4 linked regions of the Saccharomyces cerevisiae S288C genome follow. The gene in region 1 interacts genetically with each later gene. Each region holds a gene or a part of one and is shown on either strand. Other genes may lie near its edges. The genes, in order: RMP1, ITT1, BCH2 and UGA3.

Evidence for each region.
Region 2: mutations in RMP1 (region 1) and ITT1 together harm fitness less than expected from each alone (positive genetic interaction), as found in Saccharomyces cerevisiae (one large-scale study listed by BioGRID).
Region 3: mutations in RMP1 (region 1) and BCH2 together harm fitness more than expected from each alone (negative genetic interaction), as found in Saccharomyces cerevisiae (one large-scale study listed by BioGRID).
Region 4: mutations in RMP1 (region 1) and UGA3 together harm fitness more than expected from each alone (negative genetic interaction), as found in Saccharomyces cerevisiae (one large-scale study listed by BioGRID).

What each region holds. Positions count from the first base shown.
Region 1 is NC_001144.5:429,983-433,494, reverse strand, and holds RMP1 (Rmp1p), read right to left. Parts: upstream 1,328-3,512; coding exon 722-1,327; downstream 1-721. Other genes in the region: SPE4 (spermine synthase), read left to right, coding at 1-672; ACF2 (endo-1,3(4)-beta-glucanase), read left to right, coding at 1,479-3,512. UniProt on the Saccharomyces cerevisiae protein: Functions as part of ribonuclease MRP (RNase MRP), which is involved in rRNA processing in mitochondria.
Region 2 is NC_001145.3:135,579-139,658, reverse strand, and holds ITT1 (RBR-type E3 ubiquitin transferase), read right to left. Parts: upstream 2,110-4,080; coding exon 715-2,109; downstream 1-714. Other genes in the region: ERV41 (Erv41p), read left to right, coding at 1-596; FACT complex subunit POB3, read right to left, coding at 2,501-4,080. UniProt on the Saccharomyces cerevisiae protein: E3 ubiquitin-protein ligase involved in translation quality control. Involved in the rescue of stalled ribosomes by promoting ubiquitination and degradation of proteins on stalled ribosomes.
Region 3 is NC_001143.9:489,715-494,727, reverse strand, and holds BCH2 (Bch2p), read right to left. Parts: upstream 3,365-5,013; coding exon 1,067-3,364; downstream 1-1,066. Other genes in the region: SAP190 (Sap190p), read right to left, coding at 1-471. UniProt on the Saccharomyces cerevisiae protein: Member of the CHS5-ARF1P-binding proteins (CHAPS) which mediates export of specific cargo proteins, including chitin synthase CHS3.
Region 4 is NC_001136.10:154,678-158,970, reverse strand, and holds UGA3 (Uga3p), read right to left. Parts: upstream 2,654-4,293; coding exon 1,067-2,653; downstream 1-1,066. Other genes in the region: UGX2 (Ugx2p), read left to right, coding at 236-907; GLT1 (glutamate synthase (NADH)), read left to right, coding at 3,331-4,293. UniProt on the Saccharomyces cerevisiae protein: GABA-dependent positive regulation of genes required for catabolism of GABA (UGA4, UGA1, and UGA2).

The sequences.
Region 1 (3,512 bases):
ATCACCCACATTGCCATGTTTGCGCATTCTAATCCCAAGCGTGTACTTATCATTGGCGGTGGGGACGGAGGTGTCTTAAGGGAAGTAGCCAAGCACAGCTGTGTAGAAGATATCACTATGGTAGAAATTGACTCATCAGTGATCGAATTATCCCGTAAGTTCTTGCCCACATTGAGTAATGGTGCTTTCGATGACGAAAGGTTGGACTTGAAACTTTGCGATGGCTTCAAGTTCTTACAAGATATAGGTGCTTCCGACGTCCATAAGAAATTTGACGTCATTATTACAGATAGTTCTGATCCTGAAGGTCCAGCTGAAGCGTTTTTTCAAGAGAGGTATTTCGAACTATTGAAAGATGCTTTAAATCCTAATGGCGTTGTTATTATGCAAAGCTCTGAAAATTTTTGGTTAAATTTAAAATACTTACATGATTTGAAAAATACAGCCAAAAAGGTATTTCCTAATACAGAATATTGCTATACCATGGTTCCAACCTATACATCTGGCCAATTAGGTTTAATTGTTTGCAGTAATAACGCCAATATACCGTTGAACATTCCGCAAAGAAAGATATCTGAGCAAGAACAAGGGAAGCTGAAGTACTATAATCCTCAAATACATTCTAGTGCGTTTGTTTTGCCTACTTGGGCAGACAAGGTCATTAATGAATGATTTATTAGCATTGATATTATTATTTTAAAAAGTCTATTTACTTGTATATTTATCCGAATATGCCATCAATGGCTGATTTGTTCTTCTTTTTCCTTTTCTTTTTCTTCTTACAGTTCTCTGTCAGAGGCTTTGGTATAGACGTTATCACTAGTTCGTTTTCTTGAACGTTGTTGCCAATATCTTCATCTATAATTTCTCCAAGTTCTTCGACATCGTTCACAACCGATTTTGCTTTTGTTCTCGGTAAGTTCTTTATTAAGCATCCACATCTTATAAACTCAGTTTCATTAATCTCCCATAATCTCATATACAGTGCCCTCACATTTGCCAGCAATGTTACTAGTGTACAACCCAACGTTACAAATTGTCCCAGCGCAATTACGCCATTGAACTGCCAGTACCATCTCTTTAACTGTCTAAAAAGTGCTCTCTGTAATAGCCTGTGCAACTTGACCCATTCAACATCTTTAAGGCGTTTGGCTTGTAATCTTCTCGAGCTAAAAAGCGTTATTATTTGTCCACAATTTCTTTTCATCTCATTGAACGATCCATACCAGCTAGCCGCTCTATGTTGATTTTTGTTCCTATGGTTCAAGAGCAATATTAACCGATATTCTTGCTCCAGAGATCGTATCACATTATCCATCTCATCCATTTTGTTTCTGCTCTTTTTTTTTTTGTGGATATATCATTCTAGTACTCATTTCTTTGAAGTTTTTTTCTTGGAACCATAAATAAAATTCATGAATTTCTGAAAAGTGCTAGTATCATAAAAACAAAAATAAATAAATACGAGAAGTAAAAAGATGTGTTACAGTAGGCAAGCCATTCCTCCACCTGTTCCTAATAGACCTGGCGGTACTACCAATAGAGGACCTCCTCCCTTACCACCTCGCGCAAATGTTCAGCCACCAGTTTGTTCTTCTGAGAACTCCAGTAAACCTCGAGAAAATAGGGTGGCAGGTGAATCACTGCGCACACCAAGCAGTTCTAACCCTTTAGCTGACAGCCAGGTGAATAGTGACAATATTTTTCAATCACCTGTCCTTTCTAACTTAAAAGCTCCTCCTTCCGTCTTCAACAAAGTTCAACACCCGGTACCAAAGCCGAATATTGATGATCAATCTGTTGATCCATTGGAGACAAACAAGTTCTACACAAACATGTTATTAGACGATAATACACAACCTATATGGACACATCCTTATTCAATTTGGTTTTCTCGTGATCCAGAATTGTTTGGTTTGGCCGCCAATCATACTTTAGCGTCTCAAAGGGTTTTTGATACAACTACAAATCCTCCCAGATTCTACTTCAATCCCACAAATATAAAATCATTTGTATTCAAGGCCAGGGAATTTGTCTCTTCAAATGATATCAAGCTTGAATTCCGGGATATGAAACATATGTCCATGTGCTTACTAATGTCTTTGAGTAGTTCCCAGTTTATAGAATTCCCGCTGGTTCAGGGGATGGGCTTTGTCACGGCTATTTACCACGATTTGGGTTTTGAATTAAGAAGCGCCGTTGGTTTCAGGAGCTTAGAGCGCATAAGCGTGAATGAAAGATATGGTAAATATAATATACAACTTGAGAATAATAGGAATTGGATACTTTATTTGACCTCACCTGATTACTCTTTTCCACAAGATTTTCAAATTTCATTACTCGACAGCAATACAATAATATCATCTCATAAAATCAATGGTCTTATCTGTCAATTATCTGCAGACTCCGTCCCCAGTATTGACATGGCAGCGGGCTGTTATCCAGTATACTGTGACCTATCAGGGCAAACTGTTGATGAACATTTCACAAATTACAGATTTAACTATACGGTTGCAGGCTACTCGCAGTCTGGAACTACTCTAATGTATGCTTTACCACATCATAAAGCGGCATTCACACCAGAAATGCAGGAACGTGAAATTGCCTCAAGCCTGGATTCCACAGTTAAAGGCTTAATGACTGGTTATCTCACAAACAGTTTTGATATGCAGGTTCAAGTACCTCAAGAATTGGGCTTTGAACCTGTCGCGTTATCTTTGAATAAGAAGGCAGATTACAGTCAAGAAAAGCTATCTAAAATTCGGGAAGCTGCTGTTCAAGAAGTTCAATTGAGTGACCCTCAACAAGAATCAAACATAGATTCTATGTATTTCTCTGGTAAGATACTTGCAAAGTATGCGTGGATTCTTTATGTGACACATTACATCCTTCATGATGAAAATTTAACAAAAGAATTATTATCTAAACTGACTATTGCAATGGAGAGATTCATCAGCAATCAGCAAGTCTTACCTTTAAATTACGACGTTAGTTGGAAAGGCATAATTTCATCAGGCTCTTCTAGCCAAGACTTTGGTAACTCTTATTATAATGATCATCATTTTCATTACTCTTATCATGTCATAACGGCTGCCATTATCTCTTTAGTCGATTCTGATTTAAGTGGAGTTACTAACAACTCCTGGTTAGAAAATAATAGAGATTGGGTTGAGTGCTTAATTAGAGATTACTCTGGTGTTGACAACGATGATCCGTACTTCCCTCAATTTAGGTCATTTGATTGGTTTAATGGCCATTCATGGGCCAAAGGACTATTTCCAAGTGGTGACGGTAAAGATGAAGAATCTACTTCAGAAGATGTCAATTCTTGCTATGCGATAAAATTGTGGGGGTTGGTAACTGGAAATTCTAAGTTAACTGACATAGCGAACTTACAACTCGGCATCATGAGAAATGTTTTCCAGAGCTACTTCCTATACGAAAGCAATAATACTGTCCAACCGAAAGAATTTATTGGTAATAAAGTTAGTGGTATTTTATTCGAAAATAAA
Region 2 (4,080 bases), on another chromosome or scaffold:
ATCTTCCGGAATTCAATGGGTGCCATGTATTTGGGTCCATTCCGGTAAATAGAGTTAGTGGCGAATTGCAGATTACAGCGAAGAGTTTAGGTTACGTGGCTTCACGCAAAGCACCACTGGAAGAATTAAAATTTAATCATGTTATTAATGAGTTCTCTTTTGGTGATTTCTATCCATATATTGATAACCCATTGGATAACACTGCACAGTTTAATCAGGATGAACCTTTAACTACTTACGTCTATTACACATCTGTTGTGCCCACTCTTTTCAAGAAATTGGGGGCAGAAGTGGATACTAATCAATATTCTGTTAACGATTACCGCTATTTGTACAAAGATGTCGCTGCTAAAGGTGATAAAATGCCGGGCATCTTCTTCAAATACAATTTCGAACCATTATCCATAGTAGTTTCTGATGTTCGTTTAAGCTTTATACAGTTTTTGGTCAGATTAGTGGCAATCTGCTCATTTTTGGTCTACTGTGCTTCGTGGATTTTCACACTACTGGATATGGCTCTTATCACCATCATGGGACCTAAGTGGTCCTTGCGTTATCAGCCAGATGATAAAACTAAGGGTATTTTAGATAGGTAGATATGTAAAAGAAAAGAGAATGCAGTATACCCAAGATAACGTTTCATTTTCATCTGTATAAATTTCATGACAATAGATTATAAGAAAAAGTGTGAGACTGAAGGCAGAGCGATCGCACTCAAGTTTCTGTGCCAGGCATACCTTCAAACAATCGTCCATAACAGCCTGAATATGCTTCTCTAAAATGTTCATAAGGGTCCTCAGGATAAAGTAATACTCCGCATATAAAACAGAACAGCGTCCCGCATACTTCGCATTTCATTTTATTGCAACCTTCACTTCTTTCTACAACTACCTTACACTTTGGACATCGCTGCAAATTCGAACCCTCTTTTTTAATCGCTAAATCTAACATTTTTTCAGCAAGGTAATCATTGACTTCAAGTTCTAATACTCTTCTCCCATATTTTGCCTCCAGTTTCCGCTTTCTCTCATATGAAGTAACGGTATCATCTAGATATTCCTCAATAATATCGGTCGATAACGAAACTTTCTTGCCACATTTATTGTTGTAACCATGCCAGGCATGCAAGCAGTCAAAGCAAAATACAAAATGACATTTTTGACACTGAATCATCGCATCATCGAGGTCTTCTTTTGTGCACCAACTATCACATCTTCGACAAGTCACACAAGCATACGGACAATATTTTGAGAGTCTTGTAGCCGCCTGGTTGTAGAACATTTTTTCGTATCTTTCACATAGCTCTGTATCGATAACCTCTTTTAAGAAGGACACTGGAATCAAAGGTGTAAACAATGCCTTCAGCATTTTTTTATAGCTCTTGAAATCTTCTAGTTTTAATTCTTTGTATTCGCATTGTGGACATCTTACACTGGATATTCGGTTTTCCTGAATCATTGCAGTGAAATAAGATTTGGCGCATCCTCTGCAAAGATAGTGTTCTACATTCGCATTTTCACATGGCAATTTGATCATTCTAACACCCTTTTCCATTTCCATACAAATACAACAATGGTAGTTAGATCTGCTCACTTTTTGGAGGGTGGCTTCCTCACTTATCTGCTTAAACAAGTCATACTGATCCTGTGTCAGGCACTTTCTTATTCCATTAGGGAATAGTAATATAGCTGTATCATCTATAAGAAACCCAAAGATGAGGATAAGGATGGAGGTAAACGAATCCGCGAACTCAATACTCATATCTACAGTTTCTTCAACGAGTCTCAGCGCTTTGTCAATTAACATCTTCTTTTCATCTGTTGATATCCATAAGGATTTGATATCCATAACAACACACCGTCGAATGTCCGGATAATGACAGCTATATATGGTGAACTCCACGCATTCATTAGATAAGTTTGAAAGTAACATATGTTGCTCGCCGAACTCAATATTTACATCGGCCAATAGTGATATCTTGAACAGTAACTTTCCGTTAATTCTTTGAGGGAATTCACCTTCCTCCTCTACTTTTACCGATTTCATTTCCAGTTCTGGGTACATATCTCTTAATATTTCCAAATCATTTTCAAACTGAGTCAAAGCCATTTTACTCCCTGGTCTTTCATCAGTTATATTAGTTTTCTGTAATTCGTTATTCTACACCATGACATAACTTACTGGTGACTAAATGAGAAAAGCAAAGTCCCTTTCTCTTGCTTGTTATTTATTTTTGAACCCTTTACACTATTTGTCTTTTTTTCATCACCCAATCGAAAAGTTGAAAGTATTTTTCAAGCATTGAAAGGGTAGAGGAGATTAACAAAACATAAATATTTTGCAAAACAAAACCAATTTCAAATAAATGTATAGAATAACACCAGTAATTAAGAGGTGGTGTCTTACACTCACCATGTCATGATAATATCAATTGGCAAAATATATTAGTTAGTTTTTACACAATATCAATAAATTTAACTTATACAGTCTAAAATTATTACTATTCTACCTTAGGCTTCTTCGAAGGCCTTTCTTCGTCGCTACCCCCCTCAGCATCACTTAAAGCCGCATCTGAATCAAACTCTTCTGCAACTTCGTCTGCGTCATTATCAGAGCTGACCTGAAAATCCTCATCTACTGATTCATCATCTTCACCAGCGGAACCCATATTAATATCCTCTTCGTCACTGTCTGAACCTAAAGCGGTTTGTAACCTTTCTTGTACCTCTCTATCTTCATTCTTCACCCTTAGGTTTTTAGACTTTAGGAATTGTTCCAATAATTGCTGCTCTTCCTTACTGATGTTGGCAAAAGTGGTAGAACCTCTATTTGAACGCAGTACCACTTCCAAATCAAACGTCCTCGATGACGTAGAAGTTTGTCCTGCTCTTGAAATGTTTACCATGCTAACATCACTGAATGGTATGTACAAAGTTGGCTTAGTTAAAAAGAAGAAAGCGTTATCTAATGGATACAAATAACCTTCGTTTGCTTTGAAAGAACATGAAACTGCACACTGATCATATTTGGATTTATATTCTCCAGGAACAATGACTCTACGGTCAGTCAGACCTTTTAATACATGACTTAAAACTATATGAGTTTTAGCATCATATTGTTTTTTCAATTTATCCTTATAATTTTCCTCATAATCTTCATCTTCTAGATTCAATTGCACTTCTGTTTCCTCATCTTTCTGAAATTGTAAGACAAGAAAGGGGTAGGTGGTCTGTCCTTGACGTAAAGGAGGTTCAATTGCCAAAACCAATAAGTGATGGATATCATCTGCCTTTGGTAACGAAACAATTCTTTGTATTTGACGATGTTGCAATTTGTATTCATAGGTCTTACCCCTGAGTCTAATGGAGTTCTTGTAAATATCGATATCATAACGACCTCTTGGCGTGGTAAAAAAGACGTCTTGGAAGGAAACTATTGCATCACCAGCGACTTCCCCGATGTCTGCCTTTTCCTTTAGTTCTTCATAGAATGCTTCTGCCATACTCTTTTCCTCTACTGCCATTTGTACATCTTCTCCTTCAGCACCATCTTCTTTCTTTGGTACGACCTCGTTGCTTGACTCTTCCTTTTTGGTCATGTTTTCATCGACGTTTGTTTGAATAACACCAGGAATATAGAACCTCATCTCTACCAATTCGTCACCGGCTGGTTGGTACTCTTCATCTTGAATATTAAATTCTATTCCTACTTCATTTTTAGAGGTCAAATTTGTATTATTTATTCTAGCATAAGGAATTTCAAAAGTTGGTTTACCATTTAAAGCAAAAACCATTTCATTCCTGGCAAGGTCTGTCTTACCCCAGTTCCAACCACGTAAGGAATGTTCTCTTTGCTCTACCTGAATATTAAAACGGCGATGGAAATCATTCTTGATTAAGTTATAGTCATCCTGAGAAAATCCATCTAGTTGGATAACACCTTGATTTTTGGTATTTATCTTCAAGTCGTAACCCCTGCAGCCCCTACTCCATTGGACGGTAGATAATTCTGTGGCTGGTAATAAAAATGGTTTTCTTGCCTGATTTGCTGCAGAGCCACCACTGGTACTAATTTTCCACC
Region 3 (5,013 bases), on another chromosome or scaffold:
AGGATGATCGTTTACACCTTCAATAATCTCTGGCTTTTTAGCGCTATCTGTTTCTTCGTCGAGAATCTTCTCGTTGGTAACATATTCTATCAATTTTGATAAAACATCAGGATACTTCAAGAATATTAGTAGCTTGAAATTTGAACACATTAATTCCGTATACAGTTCGTCATCATCCAGCAAATCGTCTAAGACGTCCAAATTAGGTCTATAATTTTCATATTCCGATTCTGTAGTGGGCAGAGTATTTTCTTCTTCCTTCTCTTCGTTCTCGTTAACTACATTATCTTCAGAAGCAGCGTAGTCATGTGAAGAGTTATCTTCGTCATCAGCAATATTTTCTTCACATGTGCCGGTAGGTACGTCGTCATCTTGGTCCTTATTGATTTTAATAAAGGCACTATTTAGAATCTTAGAAACCGGTGACTCTATCGAGTAATCCTGACCAAACTTCCAGAAAGAACCTGACATGCTATTATAATCTTCTCGCAGTTAAGTAAATGAAGAAATGAAATAAAAGAAGAGGATAACAGGACTTATCAACTAAACGCTAAAGTAAATGAACAAACAAAACAAAAGATGATAAAGAAAATGCTAAAGGTGAAAATACTTCAATGAGGTACCCTTCGTATCTTATAATACAAATAGAAAAAATGACAATTAACCGTACGAATTGCAAGGCAAATGCAACTCTTTATTCGTGAGCCGGCCTTTGCAAGAATAAAAAATTCTTGACTTGATAGAAAATCTATTACGAACAAACAATTGCCCGTCAAAAAAAAAGAAATAAAAGGTGAAATTACAATAGTAAATATCCAACACCTTTCTTATCTTTGATATGTCTTCGAATGGACAAGGAAAGAGCTGAAAAGGGTCTAGTATACCCTTGACGTATTGATGTTATTTTTACGCTGGTCATTTTTTACTCTGTCAAATCGTTGAAAAATTACTATTAGGATATTACCCGCGCTAAAGTATTAGCATTATCGCCGTAAATTTGTCCATTAAGAATACAGACACACACACACAGTATATATATATAGATTCATTAAATCAATTTGATCAGTTAGTCTGCCAGAGGTTTGATAGTGGAAGGAAGATCTGGAAGAGGGCGTTCATAGGCTAGGCAGGCTTCATTCCTATTTTTAGAGAGGCATTCAAGCATATAATCTATCACCGAAGTGATGCCAGCTTGCCCGTAAGGAGAATTAATTATTTTATTCTTAATAATTTCGGAGCCCAGCTGTCCCTCTAGTTTCCTTAGTACTTGAAGGGAAAATATCTGAAATCTATCATAGAATCGTATCCGAAAGGAGATCAATTTCACTAATAGATCTAAAATGATATCGACGTCAAACCTTCTCATAAACTCATCATTAAAATCCATGGTTAAATAAAAGTTCAACAGATGGTGACAACTAATAGGGTCAAACCTTGCCAAAATACTAGTTCGTAGACACGCTACTGCATCGGGTAAGTCACTCACTCGAAGCAGAGTTAAGCCAAGTAGTTCCCATTCCAACCCGCTGTATTTCGCCGTAGCCTTATTTTCTTGAGATGAAGTGCTAATACTTAAATCTTCGTAAACGTCCAGAAACATAGCATCAAACCATCTCTGACAGAGCCTCTTCTGGCGTAATTCTGTGGACAGCTTGTCCGAAGATTCTATCATTTTGAATTTACTCTCCATAACGAAAACGTCAGATCTTAGCTGAAGTAAGGCGTTCCAGCCGATTCTAGCGACTAATTCCATCAACAGAAGACGTACTTGCTTTATAAACCAACTCTCTTGTCTGGTTTCTTTGCTTCGTTTTAGTAACAGCATATCTCCTACTGTATTTACCTCCTGCTGAGATACAAAGTTTATGAGATTGTCACTCTGTGGTCCACAAATAGGTCCTAATTCAAGACAGGATTTATTCCATATCTCTTCAATACATCCATACTTAGATTCATTGGGCATTACAGTGCGTCCAAATATTATTGTCTTCAACTCCAACTCATTTTCATAATGCATAATATTCATGAGGTGATTTAACTCGTGTGATGTCATGGTACAGTGTTCTCTGCTATGACATAGTGGTGCCTTGTAGTAGTTCATATAAAACTTAAAAGCGTTAATCTGGGCTTGTTTAACGATATCATATTCCGCTAAACAGGGCATCGAATTGATTGAGAGCAGTGCCTTATCATACTGTTGTGAAAAAATATAGCCTTTAGATAACAGATACCAAGATTCAAAATTATCAGAAGATAAATTCGTGGCCAATGTGGAAATGGATAAAGAAAGTTCATAGTCGTTATTGTTCAATAGAAACCTTGCTTGGATGCTTAATACATCGGTGATGCAATTGATCAAATCAGAAATGTAAGGTTCATCGGATGGCAATCCATACAGTACGGGTAGTAATAGGTCTAATATCTCGTGTATCCGTTTGATCATTTCTACATCGCGGTCATTACTTCGCTCCATGATAGAAATAATTACAATAGCGTAATATCTAGAATTTGACGGGTCATTCGTCATCAAGTTGTCTAAAACCTGGATCGCATAGTCTGTTATGAATTCTGGAGTTATAGACAGAAATACTAATAATGATTCAGTTAGGTAGTTATTCAGTATCGTTGCATAGACGCTCTTTGTAGAATCCCAACCACATTCTAAAAATCTTGGCAAAAATTTGCATAACGAATCTATCACCCTTTTATAATCACTCGCGCATCTGTTCTCAAAAACAAATGGTAATTCCACTAGCCCAGGTATTTTTCTTTCAAAATCTGAATTAATAATTACGCTTCTTATGCAACAGCTAACGAAAGTTTCTTCCCAAATAAGATCACTCAACGGTATTTCATTGTTGCCATTTAAACAGTCAACGATATTAACTTGATAAACATCTTCAGATTCATATCTTAATCTAATGTCCAATTTTTGAAAGATATTGAAAGTGCAGTAGGTTGTGATGTCGTCGTTCTTCAAAGATGCTGATTTTAGTTTCTTACCATCATTCCATTTTATCAGCTTCAAAAATGCAATTGGCATAGAGACGCTCGAGGCGTCGATCCCCGTGATGTAAAAGAATTCACCTATTTTCTCATCGTGAAATTTATCTAACTCTGTACAATGAATCAAGTCTGGAGGACCAATACCAGATTTACCAGTGCTCACCAATTCACTTAAAAGGGACGTCCTAAAGATTAAACTTTCACCATGTACTTTTTCCAAAGTTCTTGGATAATCTATAGGAACGTTTTTACGTGTTGGTTTCACACGTTGCTGTGGAACAACACCTGACGGAAGAGAACCTGCAGCCTTTTTATTCTTGCCTTTCTTGGACTTTGTAGACCCCCATAAAAAACTCATATTCCTCGAGGCCAATTGATCTGTTAACTGTACTTTACTACTTATACTACTTGATATATATGCCCTTTCTTTGCACACAATGTCTCTTTATTGCCGTTTGTCATTTTGTTTTTTTTATTTTTATGTTGAATTTAGATACACCATTGTGCATACATCTTATTTTTCCCAAACGGTGTAACAATGCCTCGGAAACCTGATGACGAATTGCTAAAATAATACGGCATTGTACGGCACCAGGACTGGCAACGTAGCATTTCCAATATTATAATATTTTTACTCAATAACTGAAAAGATAATAAGAAAATTATAAAAGTAAAAAAATTCTTCCCCGCCAGGACTTGAACCTGGAATCTTCTGGTTCGTAGCCAGACGCCGTGACCATTGGGCCACGAGGAACAAGAATTATTAAGAGACATTAAAAATTGAGAACCCTAAGTATCAGCACTATTTATTGCATGATTTTTTACCTAATATAGTAGTTCAAATTACCAGACCCAACTAATCCTGCTCTAAGAAGTAAGAAATGTGTGAATTTTGAAATAATTGTTGGGTTCCATTGTGAATAAAAGCTATCATTGAGAAATGTTTGAATAATATGATAATTACTGGTGTTCCATTATTGTTGAAGGCTATGATACACAATATACTAAAAGTTCTCTTCGAGGATATTAGAAATGCGGAAGAAGGAATCGGTATTCATGAATAGTAATGTTATTGTCTCGTTTTTTTACTTTATATGCTTATTCTTTATCTTGTTACGTTATCAATGCTTGCATTTCAGCTTCTATTATATTTAATAACCGTTTCTCATTCTTAATGTCATCTTCTTACACTGTGTATGAGAACATACTGCTAATTTGTGTGCTAGTGCATAGATGGTAGTTAATTCTTATTCAGACAAAAAGTTTTAGTATCTGATCTGTTGTTAAACATGTTAGATAAGTATTTTTTGGAATAAAGATCCACTATCGTATATTGGCTAGCGGTCGTGACACTAATATGTTATTACATACTGCATAAATAGAATACACAAATCGTGAGGTACAGTCATCCAATGTTGTGGAAGTCGATACTCAAGACCTAAAGAAAAATAAAATTTCTGAATGAAAAACATAACGATAGTAAAAATGAGCGGTATGTTATGACATAGGAGATAGAAGAACAAAACTGATCTGATCAAATTATTTTAAGAATATTTTACTAGTATGTTTACTACATGACAATCTGCAGCAGTGCCAGCTACATGGTGATCTCTCCAAAACAGACCAAACAATTTGCGCTTGTATTGCTTTTCAAAATAAAACTAAACATATGTAATTGTGCTTACAAGAATTGCTAGCTATATCTTATGTTGGTAATAGATAACGATTAGTAATACCTTTTATGAGAAAGAATAAGGAGGCAATGCCATCATTTTCGCCACATTAAGAGTGCACGACTCTATCCAGGGAATTTGATACAACACAGCAACATTGTCGCCATATTTAAAGCTTTCTACATAGCATAATGTTTTTTTTTTTTTACAATAGATAAATTTCATCCGGAAGAAAAATGAAAAAAAAATGAAAAAATTGGTGAAGTTTATGGTGTAAAATGAGAATCATACTGCTCAAATAGTGACAAAGCCATCATTAATCATAGATTTCTTC
Region 4 (4,293 bases), on another chromosome or scaffold:
CAGAATCATGTTAATGGTTCTTTTTGTCTTTTCTGTGATGCATATTCAGTAGTCTGTGATGAGCATCCCCCCACAAGAAGGGCAATTTGATGAAATTCTTACTAGCGCCGTTCGGAACGAGGTAAGGGCGCTTTTTAAAGGGAAAGAGCGTATCATTTGATAAGGATAAATTGAAATCAGTACCAGCGTTAAATGCAGATAGTTATATCGTGTTCATAACCGCTACTGAAGAGTCATGGAGGATAAGGAGAAACTTATTGTATACTCAAATACCAGTTCGGTATTTACATATAGTGCAGAAATAAGGCCAAATTTTAAAATATCTGTATCTCAAAGTCAAGGTTTTGCCTGGAACCAGGACTTATTCGCCACACAATACCAACAATCATATAAGGTGGTATATGATGCACACGAGGACAACTTTGATGAGTTAATTTTGAAGATCAAGGGCAAATTAAAGACAAAATCTAATAAAAGAGCTAAAATGAAGTCTAAGACTAAATTAACAAGGACTGCAAAGCAGAGAAGGGAAAGCCCCGTTTGTGAAAGGGACGAGAGTGACGAGGATAATGATAGTGATCACTACCAAAGAATACAAGTGCTAGATGGCCATGAATTTCCGAGAGCAAATCGGTATAAATCTGTATGGGCTCATGACGTCCACTCGAATGAAGATAGTACAAGCGACGGGGAAAGCAATCATGATATAGATATGATTGGCGGCACTGGCACGTCGTATGCAGGAGCAGCCATAATGGATAGGCCACGCAGGAAATCTGAGAGAAGCATAAGCTTTGTGGAGGACTCCAAGACAGGCGATTACAGGTATCAAACCGGGCAGGTGGATGTTGTAGAGGTGGACTCGGACACCCCTGAAAATAATCACCTAAAATGGTTAATTAAATAATTACTTCTATGTCTCAACGTTAGCATTTCTACATTGTATAGGTATAAATTGTTTTTGAATCCGTACGTCCTACAAAAAAAAAAAAGAACATATATATGTTTGTGTGGTGAAACAATAATTTAAGACACCCAGGGGGCGGGGAAAGAAAATATATGCTGCTCAGGCAAAATTAATATTGTAATCTAATTCGTCAATCATGTGGACCAGGTCATGCTCACTGATGCCATCAGCCTCGTTTTGCCAAATTTTCCGTATCAATAATCTAGCATTTTGGAAATTGTAACATTTATATCGTTTTAAAATGTCGTCAAATTTGGCTTCCAAATCTATTTTTTTCTCCATATCTTCTACCTGAATGCATACACCGTAAATGAAAAGTGGGAAGCATAACGATCCTTCCAAAAAAGTTCCGATGACCTTGTCTAGCTTCGAGTCCAATTTGTTTCTCAGTATCTGTAGTTCCAGCGAATCTTTGTCAATCTTTAATAAAGTTAATTGAAAGAACATTAAGGTAGAAATTTTCATTATCTCGAATAGTTCTAAATAGTAAAATTTCTTTTCATCATCCAAATGTTCCAGCGCCATAAGCGAAGGTTGTAATTTATAAATCTCGACTTGCAAACTCAAAATTTTATCGCCATGCTCTAGCATTTCTTCCTGTTCCATAGTCTGCAAAAACCTCGTCAAATTTGTGACTTGTCCCAATAGTAGTAAAATAGGCTTGTTGATGCCAATTAAAGGGTCTATTTCCTCAATTGGCGAGTCTATTGACTCAATAAAGTTGGCTGAGCTGGGTAAAGAGTTCTGATCCCTTTGGAAGAATTTCTCGTATTGTTCGATCGGGAAGGACGTTGTATTGAAATTCAAAATATCATGATATATAAAATTCACAATCAGCCAGTACTTAACAACGGAATTGAAATTGGGGAAGATTATCCTCTCCTCTAGGGAGGGTTCTTCTGTAGTAGTGGTTAGTATCCGTGAGACATCCTTGCCCACATGGTTTTCGATCAAATTTTTTCCTATATTCAATAATATCTTCCAAAATTTCACATCACCCTGACATATCTCTGAACCACATAAGATTAGGATTTGTGCTAGTGAATATAGAAACCCCAGTTTAGCACAGGCACTTGAGCCCTCGTTTGTCTTTAGATGCGATAACGACATGTATGTATACTTGTTCGCCAAGTTGACAAATATTTCATCCTTTCGCAGCTCATTTGATGATGATATAGACAAATGATTAGCTGACCAAGCAAGAATAGCAAACAATATACCATCATTCTCGTGGGCCATTGGCAAGAAAATGTTCAGATAGTAGTTCTGGTTCATGGGCGCGATGGAAATTATGTTTGCAAGGTGAGACCTGTAGTAGTTGTACAGCTGCAATCCCATAGAGTCCAGCTTCTGAGAAATGCAATCTTCCAGCGGTTTTGACAAATATACCTGGTTATCCTGTTCGTCGCTACCGACCCGTCGAGTACGGGTGGCCACGGCCGCTTTCTGAGCACTGTCAGGAGCATGCTTTCTTTTCTTGCTGATCAACTGGTGCTGTATATCTGCCTTTATTTTTTTCAAAGACTGCTTATCAACAGATTCTGATATATAGATACAGGGAAAACTTAATCGACGACAGTCCCGGCACACAGGTTTATCTTCAGAGCATCTCTTCTTTCTGATCTTGCAAGTAATACACCCATGCTTCGAATATTTCAATTTCAGCTTCTCCACGCCATAATTCATACCTCACTTTAAAAAACTTTGTTTTCTTGGCATCCATACATGAACAATAACAACAATTCTATATCATCTTAAGTAAGACTCTTATTGTAATTTCTTTTTCTTTGATGACTCAGACCCTGGTAGCCCTACCGTTCAACCCTATACAGCGCAAATTTGGTCCTAATACACTTCGGTTTTAATGCGTCAATCCGATTGGCTCCGATAAGCTTTTGCACATTTTTCAAGTCATATGTCACGACGAACGTGATGCCCGCAAAACGTAAAAAAAAGAAGCAATAAATTGCCCAAAAAAAAAATATAAACTGCTTTTCTTAGTCATTCATAAGTTCTGATGGTCTTCCTTATCTTATTGTATTTTTCGTCCTATTGTTTCATTTCTTACCAAATTAATCAATTCTTATATCTTACTTGATAACACACCAAACTAATCGTCTCCACATCATAGGAAGATAGGAAATTGCTATCTCAGTCCTATACTACGCAGACGGATACTCTCAGTTGCTCTTTCTTCCCCTTCTTTTAGCTCATTGAGGTAGTGATTAACGTTTAACTTATTTATTTATTTTTCTGCTTCAGTTTTTTTTTATTTATTTTTGTCTTTCTACTCTCTCTTTTTTCTTAATCTATTTGCCATTTATTTATTTTGAAGAACTAGAAAAAGAATTAGAAAAGAAAGCATGCCAGTGTTGAAATCAGACAATTTCGATCCATTGGAAGAAGCTTACGAAGGTGGGACAATTCAAAACTATAACGATGAACACCATCTTCATAAATCTTGGGCAAATGTGATTCCGGACAAACGAGGACTTTACGACCCTGATTATGAACATGACGCTTGTGGTGTCGGTTTCGTAGCAAATAAGCATGGTGAACAGTCTCACAAGATTGTTACTGACGCTAGATATCTTTTAGTGAATATGACACATCGTGGTGCCGTCTCATCTGATGGGAACGGTGACGGTGCCGGTATTCTGCTAGGTATTCCTCACGAATTTATGAAAAGAGAATTCAAGTTAGATCTTGATCTAGACATACCTGAGATGGGCAAATACGCCGTAGGTAACGTCTTCTTCAAGAAGAACGAAAAAAATAACAAGAAAAATTTAATTAAGTGTCAGAAGATTTTCGAGGATTTAGCTGCATCCTTCAACTTATCCGTATTAGGTTGGAGAAACGTCCCCGTAGATTCTACTATTTTAGGAGACGTTGCATTATCTCGTGAACCTACTATTCTACAGCCATTATTGGTTCCATTGTATGATGAAAAACAACCGGAGTTTAATGAAACTAAATTTAGAACTCAATTGTATCTTTTAAGGAAGGAGGCCTCTCTTCAAATAGGACTGGAAAACTGGTTCTATGTTTGTTCCCTAAACAATACCACCATTGTTTACAAGGGTCAATTGACGCCAGCTCAAGTGTATAACTACTATCCCGACTTGACTAATGCGCATTTCAAATCCCACATGGCGTTGGTCCATTCAAGATTTTCCACTAATACTTTCCCCTCTTGGGATAGAGCTCAACCTTTACGTTGGCTAGCTCATAATGGTGAAATTAACACCTTAAGAGGTAACAAGAATTGGATGCGCTCCAGAGAAGGTGTGATGAATTCAGCAACTTTCAAAGATGAGTTAGAC